2 linked regions of the Lonchura striata genome follow. The protein of the gene in region 2 interacts with the protein of the main gene of each other region in a pairwise test. Links are inferred from orthologs where the notes say so. Each region holds a gene or a part of one and is shown on either strand. Other genes may lie near its edges.

Region 1 (10,012 bases), on a different chromosome or scaffold from region 2:
AATCCCAGCATGGTTTGGCTTGAAAGGACCTTAAAGCCCATCCAGTCCCACCTTTCACTATCCCAGATTACTCCAAGGCCTGTCCAACCTGACCTTGCACACTTCCAGCCACAACTTCTCTGGGCAATCTATTCCAAAGTCCCCTTAAATCCCATCCAACCCTCCCCTGCCATTCCAGACCATCCCCCCGTGTCCTATCCCTCCCTGCCTGGATAAAAGTTGTTTTCCCTCTGTTTTATCAGCTCCTTTCAAGGCCACTGAGCAGCCCTGGGGCTGCAGCAGCCCTGGCAGCGCCGGGTGCCCGCAGGTGGCCCAGCCATGGAACCCGAGTGCCCTGGGCACAGGGATTAGTGCCAGGCCAGGGACCACAGCTGGGATTAACCCAGCTTTGATCCAGCCCAGCAGACACGGGGCCCTGGGGCAGGGATTGACAGGGGCAGAGGGCAGGGCTGTTTGTTGGGATAATCCCTCCCTCCAGGCCGGGCTCTGGGAGCTCTTTTGTTCTGCCTGAATCCAAAGCACAGCCCAGGGAGAGGCCGGCCCAGCCTGAAGCAGCAGCAGCAGGGCCCAGCAGAGCTCGTTCTTGACGAGGAAAGGAGGATGGGATCAGCTCCATCCCTGCCTTTGTCACAGCCTGAAATCCCCAAGTGACCCCTGGCTGCTCTCAGCACAGGGACACGGCCTTTGGGAGCTGCTCAGGCGTGACACGAGCCCACTGTCACCCGGAGCAGGGACACAACGGGCACACACAGCTCCAGGACAGAGCTCTGGAGCTGGGGAAGGGCTGGGCAGGCTGTGCCTCTCTCACCTCCTGCAGGATGTCCGTGGGTTTCGTCTGGGCCGTGGGGTTGGGGCGGGGTTTCGCCGCTTCCTCGTCAGAGTCGGAATCCACCAGGAGCCGGCGGTTCTGGGCCTGTTCCAGCATGGCCCTGCTGGGACACAGGAGGGTTGGAGCTGGATCCATCCCACTGCCAGGCCCTGCTCGCTCCAGGGGAGCTGGGGCCAGCAGCAGAGCCTCGGGATCCCCCTTTCCAGGGGGTTCTCTGGGATCAGGTTCCATCCTGAGGGGTGGGAGCACTGGGGTTTGGAGCTTCACCCCAGAGCAGAAACTGGGTCCATGTGAGGGCCCTTCCCAGGGGAATGGACCCTCCCACAGCAGCCCAGATCCCACAGAATCCCAGCTTGGTTGGCTTGGAGGGACCTTCCACTCCTTCTCCCTGGACACTTTGCCAGGACAGGCTGGGATCTCCTCCCACCTCCCAAATCCTGGTAACTCAGCCTCCCTCTCTCAGCACAGCCCGGGCCCAGCCTGGCTCATCCCACTCGAGCTCCTCCAGCCCCCTCACTTCATCTCCTGCTCGTCCTCCTCCTGCTCCTTGCGCCTCTGCTCCTCCTCCAGCTCCTTGTACTGCTTCAGCATGGCTTCAAAATCCACGTTGGCCTGGCGCTGGTTGAGCTCCTTCAGCTCCTGCAGGTTCTCCAGGACCTCCATCTCCAGCTTGGAGTCCTTGGTTCGGTTCTCCAGGACCTGGGTGGGATAAGTTGGGATATTTGAGCTGACAGGAGCTTCCAACACCTCCCCATGCTGGATGAAGCACAAGAGGACCCTCCTCATCCTCATTTTTGGGTAGGACAGGAAAATCTGAATGGCTACAAAGTCACTGCTGCGGCTGGGGAGAGTCAGGCAGAGTGGGAGAGGTTTTCCTGCAGCGCTTGTACCTTCATGGGATTGTTGAGTTCCTCCTCTTCCCTCTCCTTCTGCATCCTCTTCTCCTCCTCCTCCAGGAGCTTCTCTGCCTGGAAATTCCTGGTGGCGCCGTGCTCCATGGTGTAATCCGTGTTCTCAGGGTCTGTCTGAGAGGGGAACAGCAGGAAAACCACAGTGGGTGGGGATCCTGCTCCAGCCTGTGGGAGTCCAGAGCTTCCCCCTGGCTGCCCTGGGAGCCTGGCAGGGGTCAGGAACCCCCCTGGACAGAGCCCCCAGAGACACTGGCTGTGATCTCTGCCCATGGAAAAGAGTTTTCAATCTTACAGGATGAATTACCAGCTCTGAGGGTTTGATATCAGTAATAATTAAGTGTGGCATGGGTGCAAAAGTAAAATTTTAGGATTCTAGATAAGGGGTCCAAAGGGGACAAGATGGAGGAAATTGGGTATACCTTGTCCTGATCTCCACCTCACCACCCTGGGGGGAAAAAAAAAACCTCCTGATCTCCACCCTGAGGCAAAAAAAAACTTCTCCTGATCTCCACCTCACCACCCTGAGGCAAAAAAACCCTTCTCTTTATCTCCACCCTGGGGGGAAAATACTTCTCCTGATCTCCACCTCACCACCCTGGGGGGAAAAAAAAAACCTTCTCCTGATCTTCACCCTGGGGGGACAAAACCTCCTGATCTCCACCCTGGGGGAACCAAACCTCCGGATCTCCACCCCAGCAGCCTGGCACAGCTCCAGCTGTTCCCAGGGCTCCACCCCAAGCTCCTGCAAGGCAGGGAGAGGCTGGAACTGTGGGGCCAGGCTGACCTTGAAGGTGATCTCTGCCAGGCAGCGCGTGCACTTGATGTAGAAGCGGAAGATGGGCAGCCCCAGGTAGGACTCGTTCTGCACCGTCTCCTTGCGGGCGTTGAACTTCTTGCCCTTGTAGATGTACTCCCCACACGTCTTGCACCTGGCCAAGGGCAGGGCAAAGGCCCAGGGCATGTCAGAAAAACAGGGAATGAGCACCAGCAGCAGCCCAGCTGGCTTCTTCTATCAGGTGGGTTTTGCTGCTGGAAATTTAGGGGGTGACCAAGCTCAAAATCGGGGAATCGTGGGTTGGTTTGGTTTGGTAGGGAGCTGAAATCCCACCCAGTGCCAGCCCTGCCATGGCAGGGACACCTCACAGTGTGCCAGGCTCCTCCAGCCCAGCCTTGGCACTGCCAGGGATGCAGGGGCAGCCACGGCTGCTCTGGGAGTTCTATCCCAGCCTCCAAGGCAGGAATTCCATCCCAAAATCCCAGCCATCCTTGTGGGACGCCATTCCCTGTGTCCTGTCTCTTGTCCCTGGTCTCTCTCCAGCCTTCCTGTGGGGTCCTGGAAGGAAACCACCCCTACCCAGCACCTCCTGCCCTCCCTCAGCCCCTCCCTTGCCCTGGAGGCACCAGAGGCAACATCTGCAGCCAACATCTGGCCCCCCCTAAGGAGATTCCTCCTTCCTTCAGCTGCCTCCAGGTGTTCCAGCCCAGTGGAGCGTCCCTGCCCATGGCACTGGGGGGCTTGGTGACCCCCAGCCCATCCTAGAAGTGACCCCACTGTTCCAGGAGTGACCCCACTGTTCCATGAGTGATCCCATTATTCCATGAGTGATCCCACGGTTCCATGCGTGACCCCATTATTCCAGGAGTGACCCCACAGCTCCAGGAGTGCCCCCGTGGCTCCAGAGCTGCTCTCACCTCATGTTGAAGGGGGCCATGAGCCTCACCACGTACTGCCGGTCCTTCGGGAGCTTCAGCTTCGGGATCTTGGCCGGATCGAAGTCCGGGGGGTAATATTTCTGTGGGGAGAGAAGATTTGGGAATTATGGGAATAGTTCTATGGGGAGAGAGAAGATTTGGGAATATTTCTATGGGGAGAGAAGATTTGGGAATTCTGGCAATATTTCTACAGCGAGAGAGCAGACTTGGGAATGTTTCTATGGAGAGAAGATTTGGGAATTCTGGGACTATTTCTATGGAGAGAGAAAAGTTTTGGGAATGTTTCTATGGAGAGTGAGCAAGTTTGGGAATTCTGGCAATATTTCTATGGAGAAGGAGAAGATTTAATAATGTTTCCATGGACCGAGAGCAGATTTGGGAATTCTGGAGCACCGGGAATCTTCTCACTCCGCACAGCTCCGGCAGGAGGCTGCAGCCAGGTAGGGCTCGGGAACAGCGACAGGATGAGAGGAAGCGGCCCCGGGGGAGGTTTAAATGGGAGGCTGGGAGAATTCCCTCACGGAAAGGCCTGTTAAAGCCTGGAACGATCTGCCCTGGAGCCTCCATCCCTGGAGGTGCCCAAGGACGGCCGGGACGGGCACTCGGTGCTCTGCGCTGGTGGCGAGGCGGGCACCGGGCACAGCCGAGACTGATCCCGGGAGCGACTCCTGAGCCAACGGGGACCGCCGCAGCGGCCTCGGGGAGCCCTCCCCTGGCGCAGCCCGGCCCCCTCGGCGGGGATGCCTCTCCGACTCACGTTGAGCACTTTCCGTTCCGACATCGCTGCGGCTTCTCCCGACCGCCGGTGCCGCCGGTGCCGCCGCCGCTGCCCCCGCGCCGCTTCCGGGCGTGGCCCCGCCCCCTCCGCCGCTCATTGGCGCAGCGAGCCGCTGCCTCCCCGTTCCTCGCGTGTTATTGGCTAATCGAGCTGTCTGTCAACAGAAGAGCCCACGGCGGTTGTACAACCCAGCCAAGAGTCCGCCGGAGAGCCGCGGCCTCACAGGGGGTTCCGCATCTTCTTGGCTCCTGGCTGTGCTCCGGCTCCGGCTGGGGAACGCCGGAGCTGCGACCCGGGGCTGGGAAAACTCGGCTTCCTCACAGCACCATGGGATGGGGCCCCGGCCTCCCCTATGTCCCAATGACACATATTCATAATGTAGATAAAAATCACCAAACAGTCTGTTTGTGCTTAAAGTGTCACTTTCTTTCTAAAAACTGAGGACTCGGAGTCATTTTGAGTTTGCAGCTGGTTTTATTCCGCTCACTCCACTGAGCACGCGCAGCCCGTGGCAGCCATGCTGTACGGCACCGCCGCACTACGCATGCGCCGTTGCTATTGCCGCCATTCCGTACGCACCTCCCACAGCCTGAGCCGCCAGCGCCGGCATTCCCAGGTGCCGCTGCCGCCAGCCCCGCCCGCACCTCGTGACCGCAGCCCTGCGCATTCTCAGACCCCCACTCCCCGCTGCTACCTGCCCTTCCCGCACGGCGCCGCCACACCGCGCCCGCGCGGACCCGCCATTACCGGCGGTGGCGCCTCACCGCGCATGCGCGGCGGCTCCCGCGCGGCTTCCCGCCACCCCACCCGCCGCTCCTTCTCCCGTGGCGCGCATGCGCGGCGCGGCGCCCCCTGGCGGCCCGGGCCGCGGCGCCGTCCCGTCGTGCCCCGCGCTCCCCACACAAAGGACGCGCTGGGAAATGGCGGCGGCCGCGGCCTCGCAGAGCGCCCCCGGCAAAATGGAGCCGCCCCCGGCGGCGGCCGCGGCGGCAGCGGCGGCTCCGCCAGCGCCCAACGGGGCGGCCGGCGCGGGGGGGCCGCCCCCCAAGAGGTAGGGGGGGGTCGTGAGGAGCTGCGCTGCCGGTGGGGCCGAAGGGCCGCGTGCGGCCTCCCCGCTGCGGGGCCCGGCCTGAGGGCAGCGGGGCGGACCGGGGCCGGCGAGGGGTCCCGCGAGGTGGACACCGCTGCGGGGCCTCTCCTGGCGCTGCGGCCGCTGCTCCCTCCGGGCACGCCTCGGGATCCCGGGCGGGACCGTTCCGAAGGCGCCTCCGGGGCACCCGCGGCGCTGCGGGCCGGGGCCCGGCGGGCGGGGAGCCCGGGGATCGCCACCATCCGTCCCCTCAGCAATCCCCTCAGCATCCCCGCTGCTCAGCTTTGCTGGAGTTTTGGTTTCCCCAGGGGGGATCAGGCTGTGCCAGTGGGGGGATGTGTAAGTTCATTACTTTTGTGCTGTCAGTAAACTTTGAACAGCTCCGTTGCTCTCAGCACCTCCCTCATCCTCCTGCGCGCTTTGGAGCCCGGCGTGCTCCTTTTTGGAGGTAATTTGAGCGTGAGGGGATTTAGGAGCGCAAACACCTCGAGGGTGAGAGTTTAAGGGGAGGGGCTGCACAATCCCGATGGCTGCTGTCGGGAAAACCTTAGAGAAATTTAAACCAGAATCGGCAGCGCTGCAGTTCCGGCTCTGTAAACGTGGGGATGAAGGGCGCAAAAAGCCTCAGCTGCTTCTCACTTCCTCATGTGTGTGCTCGATGAAAATTCCACAGTTGGCAAAGCCGGTTTTGGTACCAAATCCGCAGAATAGAAAGAACTTCTATCCCTCAGGGCGGTTTTGGCCTCATTTCATGGCGGGGTGATAAGAATCAGGTTAAACCTGGTGTGCTGTGATTCCTGTTGCAGACCCGAGCTTGGATTTGTGTTTCCCGAGCCCAGGAACAGTTTTCCGAGTGTCGCTTTAGGGGAAAAAGTTCCATTATTTTTTTTTTTTTCCATTGGAGAACAGTCAGACTGTGCTTTGAGCAGTAAAATCCGGACAGACACAATTTCATTGACTGTGCAGCTGGAGCCAGGCAGGGGCAGAGACATCCCTGGTCCCAGGGACAGGGAAGGGTGTTCCCACCCTGGATTCTGTTCCCACCACTCCTGGGAACATGGAAGCAGCAGTTTGTCTCCATGAGGAGCCTGTTCATTCGTGGAAGTATATTTAAATAAAGTTATCCTTCTGCTGTGGTTTTATTTTTCCTGACCTTGTTGCACTTGGGGTGCTTCCAGGGAATTTGTTTGTGTCTGCAGGTGCAGTTGTGTTTGGAATATCCAGCTCCACGTGGCAGAGCTCTCACTTCCACAGGGATAACACCAAAGTTCTCAGTGGCCTTGAGGAAATCCAGTTTAAGAGATAACAACTAAAATCAGAGTACAGCTTTTAACACAGCTACGTTTTATGTTACTTCACCAACCAAACAGAAATGAAAGTGGGAAAAGGATTGTCCTATTTCAAGTCTAATTTTGGAGTTTTAATTATTTCATTAATAAAGAAACTTTAAAATAAAATTCAGTGAGAGAAAGACTGGAAAATTCCCATTGCTTTGGCTGCTGGGTGATAGAAGCAGGGAACAGCCTCAAATATAAACCTTCAGAGGTTTCTGCATTCTTAATTTCCTTTTTCCCTGCAGGCTGTTGTGTCTGTTCAGGGATTGAAATGGTCCTGAAGGGATGGAGCTGGGATTTCTGACCTGGCGTTTGCAGGGCTGCACAGGTGCTAGGTTGGGAGAAGCTCAGGATTGTAGAAATTTCAGATTTATCTGATGTGTTCTGAATTCCTCCTCAAGATGTGTCGGTGCATCTTCTCCAGCAGCACTGATTGAGCAAGGAGATTAATTGGATTAGTGAAGGGAATTATGTAAGACTGAGCCCGAAACTTTTTTGTTCCCATGATTTGTTTTTTTCCTTTCAGGATGGTCTGGGCTTTTCCCTTCCCATCCAAACTGCTCTGGAGTTGAGAGATTCAGCTCTGCTTTTGTTCCAGCTGGAGGTGGTGGCACTGCTCCATCCCCAGCAGCTCACAGGGCTTCTCTCCTTGCAGCGAAGGCGAGCGCCCGACCCCGAATGAGAAGAAGAAGGAGAAGGGGATGAAGAGGGGAGGGAACCGCTTCGAGCCCTACACCAACCCCGCCAAGAGGTACCGAGCCTTCATCACCAACATCCCCTTCGACGTCAAGTGGCAGTCGCTGAAGGACCTGGTCAAAGAGAAAGGTAAAGTGCAGCTCAGGTGGAGAGGCTGTCCTGTGCTCCAGCCCGTGCCTGGCTCTGGCTGGAGCTCAGCACTTGCACCTCTGGGTGCGCTCGGCCACACGAGTTTGGAAAAGCTCTTCCCGAAGCCTTCTGGGTGTTGCACAACCTCTGTCCCTGGCAGCCTTCCAGGGGATGGTTCCTGTGGAGGCCTGTGGCACACAGCTGCTAGAGCCTCATCCCAGGATTAGCAGTGTTTTCCTTAGGGATCCAAGCCCAGGCTTTCAGCAGATTTTAGCCTTGAAGTGCAGCAGAACTTTTGAAGCATTTGAATGTTTTTTTTGGGCATTCAGGTGGTTATGTCCTGCTCTGGCGTGTGGATATCCAGCTGTGTCCCCAAATTTGGAGGGGTTTGGGCTGGCTTCAAGAGCCATTCTGCCATTGGTTGCAGTTCAGTGTATTTAAGGGTGACCTGCAAAATCAGGTTGGTGCTTTGGCATGTGCTGCAGCAGAATCAGGGCTTTGGAAATCAGATTTGTGGTGTTCCCACTTCCACAATTCCCTTTAATTCCTATGTGGATGGGAGCTGCCTTTGCTGACCTGAACATCTTCGTCTCTTGAGGAAGATGAAGAGATTGAGCTGAGTGCTCAGGTAGTGACAAGGCTAAATTAGTGTCATTTCTTCAGGCTGGTGCCCATCTTTCCAGTTTTCAAGTCACCTTGGAAGTGCAGTGGAGTGGCAAGAAAATCCTTGGCTTCTCCAGCCTTAAAATGTCTAAACCAAGTTCAGAGTAACAGCACAACATTTCCTGTGGGGCACTTCTGGATCCAGAGCATCAGCCAGGATAGTGGGCAGTGGTCATTGTGCTGGAGCTGGGCAAGGACTGGCAGTTCAGGCGTTTGAGGTGTGGCCTAAAGAAGGGGAAAACAAAGTTCCAGAGGGTTTCAATTGTTTGTCTTTGGAGGCAAAAGGGAATGAATCTGTGGAACAGACTGGGAGCTTCCCAAATTAGGGGCTGTTTGAGAGCCAGCAGTGGTTTTGTGCCATGGCAACAGTGTCAGCCTCAAGGGCTGCTTGAGCAGGCCCTGATGATGGACGGAGCCCTCACTGCCCCGTGGCTGCCCCAGATCCGTTGGTGTTCCGGGTGAGGAGATGTCCAGCTCTGTGCTGTGTTGAATCCCGTTCCCAGTGTCTGGTGGTTTCTCTCCAGTTCCCGTGGATGGCAGAGGCCAGGCTGAGATTGTTTCCTGCCGGGCTGTTCAGCTGCTCATTCCAGCAGATGCTCCTAGGGGAACGTTGGAGCCTTTTCCTTCTGGCTGCAGGGCTTGTCCTGCTCAAACTGGGATCATTCCTGGGGTTTGGCACTGCTGATGAACCCAACAGTTTGGACTTGCCGTGGAGTTGTTCTGGACTTCTCCCAAACTGCTGCTCTCGTGCTGTGCTCGGCCTTGCTCAGTCCTTGCCTCGAGGCAGAGCAGTTCCAAGCCCCAGGAAAACTCCGACCCGTTGGAATGCTTGCTTCGGAAGCGTAAGAACGCCAGGCCAAACGTCCCAGGCTCTGGGAGCAGGTGGAATTCTTGCCCAAGGGGAAACCCTGGGTGTGTGAGGGCTCTGCAGGGCTGGGCCCCGTGCAGAAGGGGCTGTAGCAGCAGCAGGAGCTCGGGGAGGTGCCGTGTGTGCAGCAGCTGCTGCTGTTCTGCAGCCTGGGAGCGGCCAGGCTGCTCCAGGTGCCACCTCTCTCTCTCTCCTCACGCCGTGGCTCGGGCATCCCAGTGGATTGGTTGGAGAAACTCAATTACAGGTATGCAGTGGGAATGTTGGTAATGGAATGAAGAGATGTTCTTGTTTGGAACTCCCTCGTTTTGCTGGCAGACACAAGGTGTTAGCTCACTGCAGAGTCCCCAGGATTTGGTCACAGTGTGGAGTTCTGGGGAGTCAGGGAGGGAGGGATGGGGAAGGAATGTGCTGTCCTGCCCTTGGCCTGTTCCCCCTTCCGTTTGCTGAAGTCTCTGATGAGTTGCTCTGTTTCCCTTGGGCATTCACCATCTTTCCAAGGAATCTCAGCCCTTCCCTGGCTGCAGGGAGCTTTTCACTCCCTCTGCTGCCTGAGCTCTTTAAGAGCCTAAATCACCACTTTGGGTGTTCTCTTGCAAAAGGGAAGTTTCCTTTCCCCATCTGTGACAGAACTGCTGACTGCTGTCTCTGCTTTGGGAAGGTTTTCCTTCTGCCTTTTCAGCCAAAGCTTTGCATGTGTAAAACTTGCTCCTCTTCTCTCCCCTCTTAACTTTTCAGGGGTTGCCTGTCCCAAGCTTTTACCTGTAAATGAGGGAAGAACTGTGGCCAGCTCTGCTTTGCCTCACACTGCGAGTGTGAAGCTTTTTAATCTTCTTGGATCACTTGTTCTTCAGAAGATGAGGAGACATCCAGCCACTTTGGGGTTTTCCTTCCATATTTAGTATTTACTTTTGGCCCTGGAGGCCAAGGAATAACTGCTACAGAGCATTTCCCTTGTCCCAGTTCTGTGCTTGCTCCCCCTTCCCTCTCTGCATCTTTCA
Region 2 (9,579 bases):
TCTGTGGTGATTCCATCAAGTACTAAAGGGAACCCAAAAGGACCACATGGGAAGTTACTTGCAGGATTTCTGCTCTTTGTAGACATCTTATCTCAAACTGCTCATAGCAAATGGAACACCCGATCTTTATTTTTTGATTTAATATTTATCCGATTCCTAAAGATCCAGAGTTGCAAATTTTCTTCAAAGTAATTTTGGCCCTAAGTTTTTACTGAAAAAAAAATTGATTTTTTTTTGCACTTCTGTGATAAATTGGTACCACTGCTCCACTTCTAGCAACCAGTTATCAGGTTGCACTCTGCAATCAGAAAATCTGTAATCAGATTCTTTTGAACTCTTCCAGAAGTTTTGTCACAGCACCTTTCTTTCACTATGTGATTTCTGCCTGCATAAACACAATTTAATGTTGAAGTTCATTTAGATTAGCTGTTGTAATGTTGCCTGATGAGCTGCCAGATAGACACGTGTAGATACTTCAGCCAAGATTTGATCTGCTGCTGCTAAATTCTCACTTGCCTGAGGTTTTCATAATCCTTAGGGCATTACCTCGGCTGCTAATTACTTCTCTCATCATGTACAAAATTGTGTTATTTCCCTTAAAGGTGATGCATCACCTTCATCCAGCTTAACTTGCAGACCTGCAAGTCTGTTTCCAGTGTTCCATTGAGCTTCTTGTTCTACTGGTTTCCTGTCAGCTTCTACTTTTCAATTACAACAGTTGGGAAGCACATGATTTCAGTACCTGTACTTTTAGATTTTGGAATGTAGTTAATTTTACCTATTGGGCATACCTGTCCCTGCTTCCTTTTTAGATGAATGCACACTGTCAGCAGTTGCATATTCATGCAATGATTGTGTCTAACTTGCAGAAACATTTTAAGATATCTATGTGCAAAATGTCATGGAGGTATACTTTGTACTGTGTTCTGTGCTGTGAACCAGGCCAAAGGGGAGGATATGGTTTAATCATTAGAAACCTTGGACTGAGAGGCATTACTTCAGGTTTCTATTCTTGGTTTTAATGCTGACTTAACATGTGACTTGTGTGAGTGATATAACCTTTACAGGCCCCTGTCTACCCACAGATAAAATTAGTGTTACAATCTCTACTTCTCAAGTTTTGTCATTAAAAAGAGTACACAGGTCTGTCTGTGCAAGCCCACTAAATAAAGAGTTCACCTCTGAGGATTCATTTTCATCCCTTTCTATCCTAATCCTTCACTGGCACAGCTTCTCCTTCCTGGGGCTCTGGCCCATACACCGAGTTAGAGATCTCTCATGACTTCATCTCAATAAGCCAAAGAAACTGTAAACCAGAAGAATGAGGGTTGTGAGCACAGGAGAAATCACATCTTTGGTGTATGGCTTATGAATAAACTAATCACTCTCACAAGCAATCCTGGCAGCTGTAAACCTCAGCTTCAGAGTCAAAGGGAATAATGACCTGCCTAATCCAGACACACCAAATTTTGGTAGTTGTGGATAATGAGAGGGACAAAAAAAACAGACCACCAATTAGTGGAGGGTTCTGTGCATAATTTTATGAAGCAGTTAGGTGCCACCATGCCATAAAAGATGTATTTGGGTTGGACAAAACTGTGACAACTGTGTTCCTCTATGGCTCATACAGGAACTGCGTTGAGTAAGTTTTATTTCTGCAGGATTTAAAAATATTGCATTTATGCAACTTGTAAGTGGTATAGATTTACATATGCATGAGTCAAAATCTTTTTTTCCCCTTGCTTGTGTGATTAGACCAGCTAGAGACAAAATGGACCTTGAAATGAATTGGCCCAACTATGCATCCATCTTACAGCTCTGCTCTATAAAATACCTGTCACAGGAGATATGAAAACTCTCTGGAAAATCCCACTCTTTAAGTACAATCTAGTGTTGACAGTGCTGATTTGGATCTGTACTGTTCTTCTCCTCAAGTTTCTAATTTTCAAAATAAAAAATAGAAAATAGAAGTTCCTGAAAGCTCGAGCCAAAAGAGCAAAAGAACAGTTTTGAATTTTAAGTGATACTCTTGGACTAAATTTAACAGTGAGGAGAAACTCAGCTTTGTTAGCTACACCTTCATGTATGAGGACTGTATCAATTAGCAGAAAATATTTCAATTGTTAAAGTATTATCAAAATAAAAAAAGGAAGAAGGAAGGAAATTAATTTTACTAGCCACTGCTACAGCAACAAATTTCCACAGAAGGGTGCTGAAAAGCTACATAGTCTTTCCTTGGATTTGTGTATCAGCTAAAATATTAACAATCCAAGAAGGAAATGTTAAGAAACTAATAAAACAATAAAGAATTAAAATAAAGTTTAATATATGAGTGAGTGTATCTGATGAAACAACTTACAGAAGGGATCAGAAGTTCTGTGTGCTAGCACAAAGCCTAACTCTAAGCTGGATACATGTTCTCTGAATGTTCCTGGAATAAATGATAATGCTGGTAGAAAGATAAGTGAGAGAGGCACAGAACCTTATGACATTATTTATTATAAGAAAGTGCCTGTTTTGCTGAGAGGGTAAATACCTATTAGAGACGAGGGGTGATCTTAGAACTCCTACTGACTCTACTTAAAGCAGAATTTTCCTCATCACCTTGATGTTTAGTCAGTGCAGGTAGCAGAAGACTACTCTCTCTTGTTTGACCATAGCTATGCTCGTATCCAACTTCATACCTGTAATGCTGAAGCAGTAACATTCCCTTTTTGTTTTCCAGACACTTCCAAAATTATTCTTCCAGCTCCTAGCCCTTTGATTTTTTAAATATTTCCTTTTAAAACATAGAAGTGTATTATTCCAGAGGAATCTCTGTGGATGCACTGTACTCAGAGACAAAATAGCATCTTTGTTCCAGTTGTGTTACCTTCTTGTAAAGACTGGGCTAGCTGCTTGTGGAGCACAGAGGACTCACATTTGGGGAGTTTTTCTATGGTAATGGAGATAGTTGGTACTTTTTAAAAACACAGCCCATAATTCATGGTACCATGAAAACATTAATGTTATCTTAAATGTGAAAACAATCATGTTATCTTAAATGTATGGCCTCATATGGCTTCCAAGAGAAATGTTTCCTAAAATACAATGTGTAATATAAACTTGGCTACATATGCAAAGGAAAACTAATTACAGGGAAACAAAAATATTGCCTCAAATCCAAGGAGCTTGAGACAGGAAAGTTTCTGTCATTCCTCTTGAGAAATTAGAGCCCATTCACATTTAAGCTCTTCTCAGAAGCTTGTTCTGAACTTCTTGGAAAGAATTCAGGAAAGTGGAACAAATAGCATTTATTGTGATTCTTCAGTCTTTTACAATGGACAATATTATTTAAAATTATTTAGAAGAAACATCATCATATTAACCCAGTAGAAGTGCATGCCTGTGTACAGTAATTGCCAATTGACAGTAGCTTTGCTAACCTTGATTGCTTTTTACGGATTTATGAGAAGCAGTCCCTGAACCCCTGAGGGGCCTGCAGACCACTGAGGGAATAAACTGCCCTGTTCTGTTCTGGGGTTTATACCATGGCACAGCAACAGGTTTAGGAAATACAGAACAACTAAGTCTCCAGTCAGTATTGAAAATTAACAGCCCTGGAAGTTCAGGGGTAAGGTGACAGGGGTGTGTCAGTAAGTTTATTATAATTATCAGTTACCGTGACGGGGTGTGTTGCATGGATCGTCATGGATGTTCCTAATTAAGCTGCTGATGTACAGAAAGCTATGCCAACAGGTATCTTTACAGATCTGGATGCCAAGGCAAGTGTAGGAAGAAAGTAGGGAATGCATGCCTTTCTGTATTTTCATGTAGTAGAAAACAAGGGAATCAAAGTCTTAGATTCAAAAATCTGAAGGTGCTTCAGGGTGTTCTGTGAATAAAATCACAACTGTCTGATTTTCACAGTGAAAGAATATCTCCAGGGGGGAGGATGTTTTTGTAGTAAAGCACAACTTTTTAGGATGTGCAGATTCAATGTAAGTACTGTTTCATTATTGGGTGGGTGGGTGAGACGGCAGAAGAAATGACTCGGTTTGCACGGATGAATAACGACCCAATTCCTCTGCTGAACTAAGGTGTGATTCTTTGGCAGACTGATGTTTCTGTGGAGGCTGCATTAATTTGTATTTGCATACTATGGGGATTACTTTACACAGATCGCCTTAATTCTGTGTCTGAGCTTATGCTGAATCTTCTCTGTGGTGTTTATTACCTCAGAATATATCTGCTCAGGAATTCTGCTCAAAAGGGGGAGTTCTTCACTCAGGGAGCACAGGTGTATGGCGTGAGGTAAAGCGATTTATGTGGAAAAATAAGGAAATCTGCATTCAAACACGCTTTTTAGGTAATGGGAAGTTTAGTATGTCATTTGGTGCCAATTTGAGATAATTTCCTCTCCTGCTAGAGAGATGTGAACTGAACCGCAGATTGTGTTGGCTCTTTCTAGTCTTTGAGAAGTATCAAAGTTAACGAGCCATAGGGATAACGCTGGGGGCTGAGAATAGGGAGCGTGCAGTTTTATTCTTGCCCCGGCAATTATGCGCTACGCATGTGGCCACAGCGTTTAACTCTTGGTACCCTCAGTTTCTCTGCTTGACAAATAGTGACTCACGCGTTCTGCACGGGGAGCCAGTGCATCGCTAGAATTCCTGCTTGCGAAATCGGTTTAAATCTTTTGGAGAGAAGAGTTAATGGTTGCAGGGTAAGGCCAGCAGTGCCGCGGGCGGGATGCGGGTGCAGACACGTATCATTTCCCAGCTGCCCAGCCGCGCGGCGTTGCCTCCCATCTGCGTTTCCCAGCCCGCTGGAACACGAGCGGGAGGCGGCGGGAGCCGGGCGGCCGCGCTCCCCCGGGGCTCCGGCGGCGAGGGGCGGCGGGAGCCCCGCGCGGTGCGGCCGGGCCCGCCAAGAGTTAACGGCGGCTCCCCCGGGGCCGCGCCGCCGCCTCCCCACCCCGGCGCTGCATTATTATTATTATTTCTCCCCCCTTCCCTCGCCTTCCAGTTTTGGCAGGGGATTAAAGCAGCTCCCCCCTGTGGCAGCAGTGACCCAGAAACGAGTTTGATTCACGGAGTCCTTCCTCCATAACAAGTACAAACGTCAGTCAGAGGGAATCTGTGTGTGTGTGTGAGAGTGTGTGTGTGTGTGGCGCAGCGAGCCGCGCTCCGTGCCCGCTGCCCGGCGCCGCGCCGAACTCATGCGGCGGCCCCGAGCCCTCCGCGCAGGGGGAGCCCGGCCGCGCCGCCCGCCCTCGTCGCCGCCGCGCCGCCGCCAGCAGGTAACCGTGCCCGCCGCAGCGCCAGCCGCGGAGCCGCCAGCACAGCCATATTTGATGGGGTTTTTTTGTCGCTCCGGAGGCGGCGGGAGAGCAGTTTCGTGCCGAAGGTCGCTGCCTAGTGGAAATAAGATAGTACGTCATTAACATGGCGCCAAGAGCCGCGCCGCTCGGTACGGGGCGAGGGGAGGCGGCCGAGTTGCGGCTCCGCTATCCCACAAGCAACTTGTGCGGGGCTGTGGCGGGCGGAGGCGGGAGGGGAGGCAGCGCTGCCGCCCGGCGCGACCTGCCGCTGCCGGCTCCCTTTTTGTTCCGCTGCGGGCGAGCGGGCAGCGCGCAGCTGCCCAGGTGCAGCGGCCAAGTGAGCCGCCGGTGTGCCGTGCCGTGCCGTGCCGGTCTGCGCCGTGCCGTGCCGTGCCGTGCCGTGCCGTGCCGTGCCCCCGGCCCTGCGCCCCAGGCGTCGCTGCAGGCTGCGCCGCGGGGGCAGCGCCTGGTATCGCCCGCCGCGGAAAGTAGGAAGCGTTGGAGCAACTTGGTAGCCAGATGGCAATGGCAGAGCGCAAGTCTTGCTCGGATACTGATGTGTAGGAAGGGGGTGGGGGAGAGTCATGGCCACTGTGTGTCACCGTGTTACCCAGATGCCCACGAGACCCGTCGCCTCTCGCCGCGGGCGGGGAGCGGTGTGCGTGGGAGAGGAGGTGTTCGGTATGCAGGAGCAGCTTTGTTTCCCTCCCTTTACCACCCCGCTTGCACTTCGATTTGGCTTGGGGCGGGGGGGGGGGGGGGGGCGTAAATGCTTGGAATGCATAAAAACTGCTCATCGGTGAAATTAAACAGAAGTTGCCTTTCGGAGCGGGAGAGCCGTAGCCGGTCTGCCTCCCGCTTGATGGGCGCCGGTGGGCGCTCTACTGGAGGCGCGGAGCGCCGAGCTGTCAGAGCTGGCTCTGTCCCCCCAGACGGGTGCGCGGTGTCTCCTGCTGGAGAACAACTTGCCCGAGCCCCGAAGTGCACGTGTTTGAGAGTGGGAAAAGGCGGGGAAATGCGTGCGGCCCCACCGGGGCGCGGGGCGGCATCGGGGCAGCGGCCGGCAGGTGCACGGCGACCCCGCCGCGCCGGCCCCCGCCCCGGCCGTGGGAGGTGGAGCGGCAACGGGCCGGGGGGCGCGCAGCGAACTTGGGCAGGACGTGGGGGGTCCGGCCCCCTCCCGCTGCTGCTGCCCGGCGCAGGCCGAGGGGCGAATCCGTGTGCTCGGGCCGGAGTTTGTGGGCGAGGGAGCGGAAAGGCGGCCGGCGGTGTTGGGGCGCGAACGGAACATCGCGGGGGGCGGCGGCGAACGCCCCAACTTGCTCGGGCGGCGGTCTGGGCAGCTCCGCGATTTGGCTCTTGCCCCCGTGCCTGGCGAGCGGGACGGAGCGGGGCTGCGGCACTGCTGTGTAACGGGCCGCTCTCCCTGGGGAGGTGAGTGCGGCTCCAGCCATCATTCCACTTGTTCCTCTTAGACAAAGCCACCCTGCCCAGCCCTGGGCACGCGTAGTCGCCAGCTCCCAGGAGAATTTTGGTGGTGTTTGTGTTTTTTTGTTTTTTTTTTTTTTGGGAGGGGGGCAGCCTGGAGGATGTTTGGTTGTTTTGGTTTTATTTGTAGAAATTTTTTTAATTTGCTTTTCCCTTCCCGTTCGCGCCCGCCCGTTCGTTCCCGATAGGATGAATTTGGGAAGGGTGGAGGCAAAGGGTGTTTGTTTGTTTGCACCGCCTGCTGGTTGGTTTCCTGTGACAAGAGGTGATAACACAGTTTCCAGAACTGTCTGGGAGTGGGAGGAGAGACGGACAGAGAAAATGAGCTCGTCTCCGAGCTGCCGCTCGATCCGCCGTCCCGTCCACCCCCTCGGTGGCAGCGTGGCCACGGGGGCGGGCGGGGAAGGTGCCGTGGCCGTTTTCGGCAGTGACAGCGCTTTGAGCGAGAGGCGGCGGAGCCGGGGGCACCAAGTTTGATTTGCAGCCGTGGCCGAGCGGATTGGTGCGACCGGCGGCGGGGAGGAGCGGGAGCCGGGAGGGAGGAGAAGGAGGGGGCCAGCCGGGCCGCTTCTCCTGGAAGGCGGCCGTGCAGCTGGCCGGGGAGGTGCCACCCCCGCGGGGGAGGTGTAGCCCGGCCAGGAGGCTGCTCCGTGACCGCAGCCGGCCGTGCCCTGGCGGCTCCGGGGTCGGCGCCGCTGCCGCGAACCCTGGGCGGGCGCGGTGCCGGGCCGGGGCCGAGATGGGATCGCTGCGGGAGGAGGAGGAGGAGAGCCGCCCTGAGCGGTGCCCGGCCGGGCTGGAGCCGGCTGTCGGCGTGAGTGCCGCGTTGGAAGCGACTCCCGAAGGCTCGGCTCCTCTCCTCCTGCGGGGAGTGGCCCCATCCCGCAGCCGTGGGCTCAGCGCACCTGCGAGCAGCGCCTGCCGCCGGCCAACTTCTCCTGCCGGCTCTCTCCGGCTGGTCCTCAGCTGCTCGCCTTATTCTGAGAAAGTTGATTAGGTTCACCGGCAGGTGAGAGTCGGGGCATCCTGAGATCTGTCACCTCCCTGCCCCTTCCCAGTAAAACAGGCCGTGGAAGTATTAGAAATTCCAGTAGGATTCAGCAGCACATCTTAGTTGATGTTTTTATGCCAGCCCCATTTTTTAGAGAAAGGTTTTAGCTGTTATTTTGAATAATTTCCTTTTTAAGCAGGTGCTGTCTTTTAACTAAGTCAGAAGCTGCCCACACTTGTAAACCTAAAACCTTCATTAAAGTTATGCCAAAATATGCTTGTTATGATTCTATTTCTAGATGTTTCTCACACTCAGTGGGATATTGTTGAAACAGCAAGAATTGTATGTTTTAGTGGCAGGATTTTCCCTCTGGCTTCAGATAGCACTTGCTCCCAGCTTTTGAGCTATGTTTAATACATATGTTTAAAATAAAATAATAATAATAAACTCCCCTTTCCTCTCACAGCTGCAGATTTCCCTTCCAGCTTCTCTGGTTTCATTCCCAATTCACAGAACCTAGTAAAAAAACCCTCAAACTTCCAGTGTTTCCTCAAATGATTTCTCCATGTGTTTAGTACTGCTGCTTCATGCTCCCATTTTCAACTGGAGATGGCCAAACTGGTACCATTTCCTAGGTGGAAGAGAGGAACTGCAGTGGGTGCAGGTTGAGTTGCAATAATTCTTGGAACGCAGTTCATGCATTGCTCGAGATTTTGGATGGTCCGTTTCACTCACTCCCACAGTTTGGGAATAATTTGCTGCCACTGTTCAGGTAGTAAGTTAATATTATGGGCTGGCTTGCACAGGTGCATAAATAAGCACGTGGATTCCTGAGAAGTGTTGGGTTGATATGGCCAAATTGTGCTTTTCTCTTATATTGATAAATTTTGGATAGGTGTGCTGAATTTGGTAGAAATATTCCCTGTGGAGAACACTGTTGGCCTTGTTTCATGACACTTGGAGGATTTTTTTCCTCCAGATTTAAGGTCTGTGACTCTTTGCACTGTGGATGGTGCTCCGTAATAGAATTTTAAGTAAATTTTAGTAATAGCTTATTTCTGATGTGCTTCCTTTTTTGTTTGTTTGTTTGTTTTAGGTCTAGGGTAGAAGCAAAAGAGCTTCTTGTGATGTCAGGTGTCAGTGAAGAAGGGGTGGTGTTATAAATAAGCTATTTAAAAAGAACCCAATAATAGAACCCAAATGTCTCCATCTTCTATTTTATTATACTGTGTCACACTTCGCTTCCATTTGTACAGTAGGTGTTCTGAAGCAATTTCTTGTGTACTAGAGATAATTAGGTCTTCGTTTCATTGCAGTTAGTGGGTTACTTTCAGGAAAAGCCAGTTTTTCAGTTTGTCTTCAGGGTGTACATCTGTCATAACTCTGCTTTCTTCCCATTCTGTCTCTGCAGCTGTTCAGTGCAGTTTGTTACAGTGACACCCGTTAACATGGTTACAGTTAATTGTCTGTCAGAGTTTGAATTATACACTCTTTTACCCAGGGGTTTATGCAGCCCTTGAAAATACTTCAGTAAGAATTGTGCTGTGGAAAACCTTTGACCTGAGGATGTAGATTTTCCCATGTATATTTTTTTTTACAATCTGGTTCTGTTTAGCTATATGCGTAACAAGGACTGACACACTTTACATCTTTCCCTTCGATTGCCTCTCTAGTTGAGGTCAAACTTAGTGAAGAACCATGTGGGGTTCTTAACTGTGTATGTGGCACATGGGGGTGTGTGTGTGCACGCTGTTGTCCCAGTTTCTTGGGGTAGTGTCTGGATTTCTGCCCTTTGTAT

The links.
Region 1: the proteins of JADE1 (region 2) and YJU2 interact in a two-hybrid assay, tested with the Homo sapiens proteins (2 studies listed by BioGRID and IntAct). The two-hybrid records come from large-scale screens. The link is inferred for Lonchura striata from reciprocal best matches to the Homo sapiens genes JADE1 and YJU2.

The regions. Positions count from the first base shown.
Region 1 is NC_134630.1:6,560,138-6,570,149, forward strand, and holds the start of YJU2 (splicing factor YJU2), read right to left. Parts: upstream 4,303-10,012; 5' UTR 4,235-4,302; coding exon 4,211-4,234; intron 3,534-4,210; coding exon 3,433-3,533; intron 2,670-3,432; coding exon 2,525-2,669; intron 1,855-2,524; coding exon 1,720-1,854; intron 1,529-1,719; coding exon 1,347-1,528; intron 930-1,346; coding exon 809-929; intron 1-808. Other genes in the region: heterogeneous nuclear ribonucleoprotein M-like, read left to right, coding at 5,152-5,282, 7,311-7,480.
Region 2 is NC_134606.1:67,398,930-67,408,508, reverse strand, and holds the start of JADE1 (protein Jade-1), read left to right. Parts: upstream 1-5,393; 5' UTR 5,394-5,413; intron 5,414-5,954; exon of another isoform or gene 5,955-5,983; intron 5,984-9,579.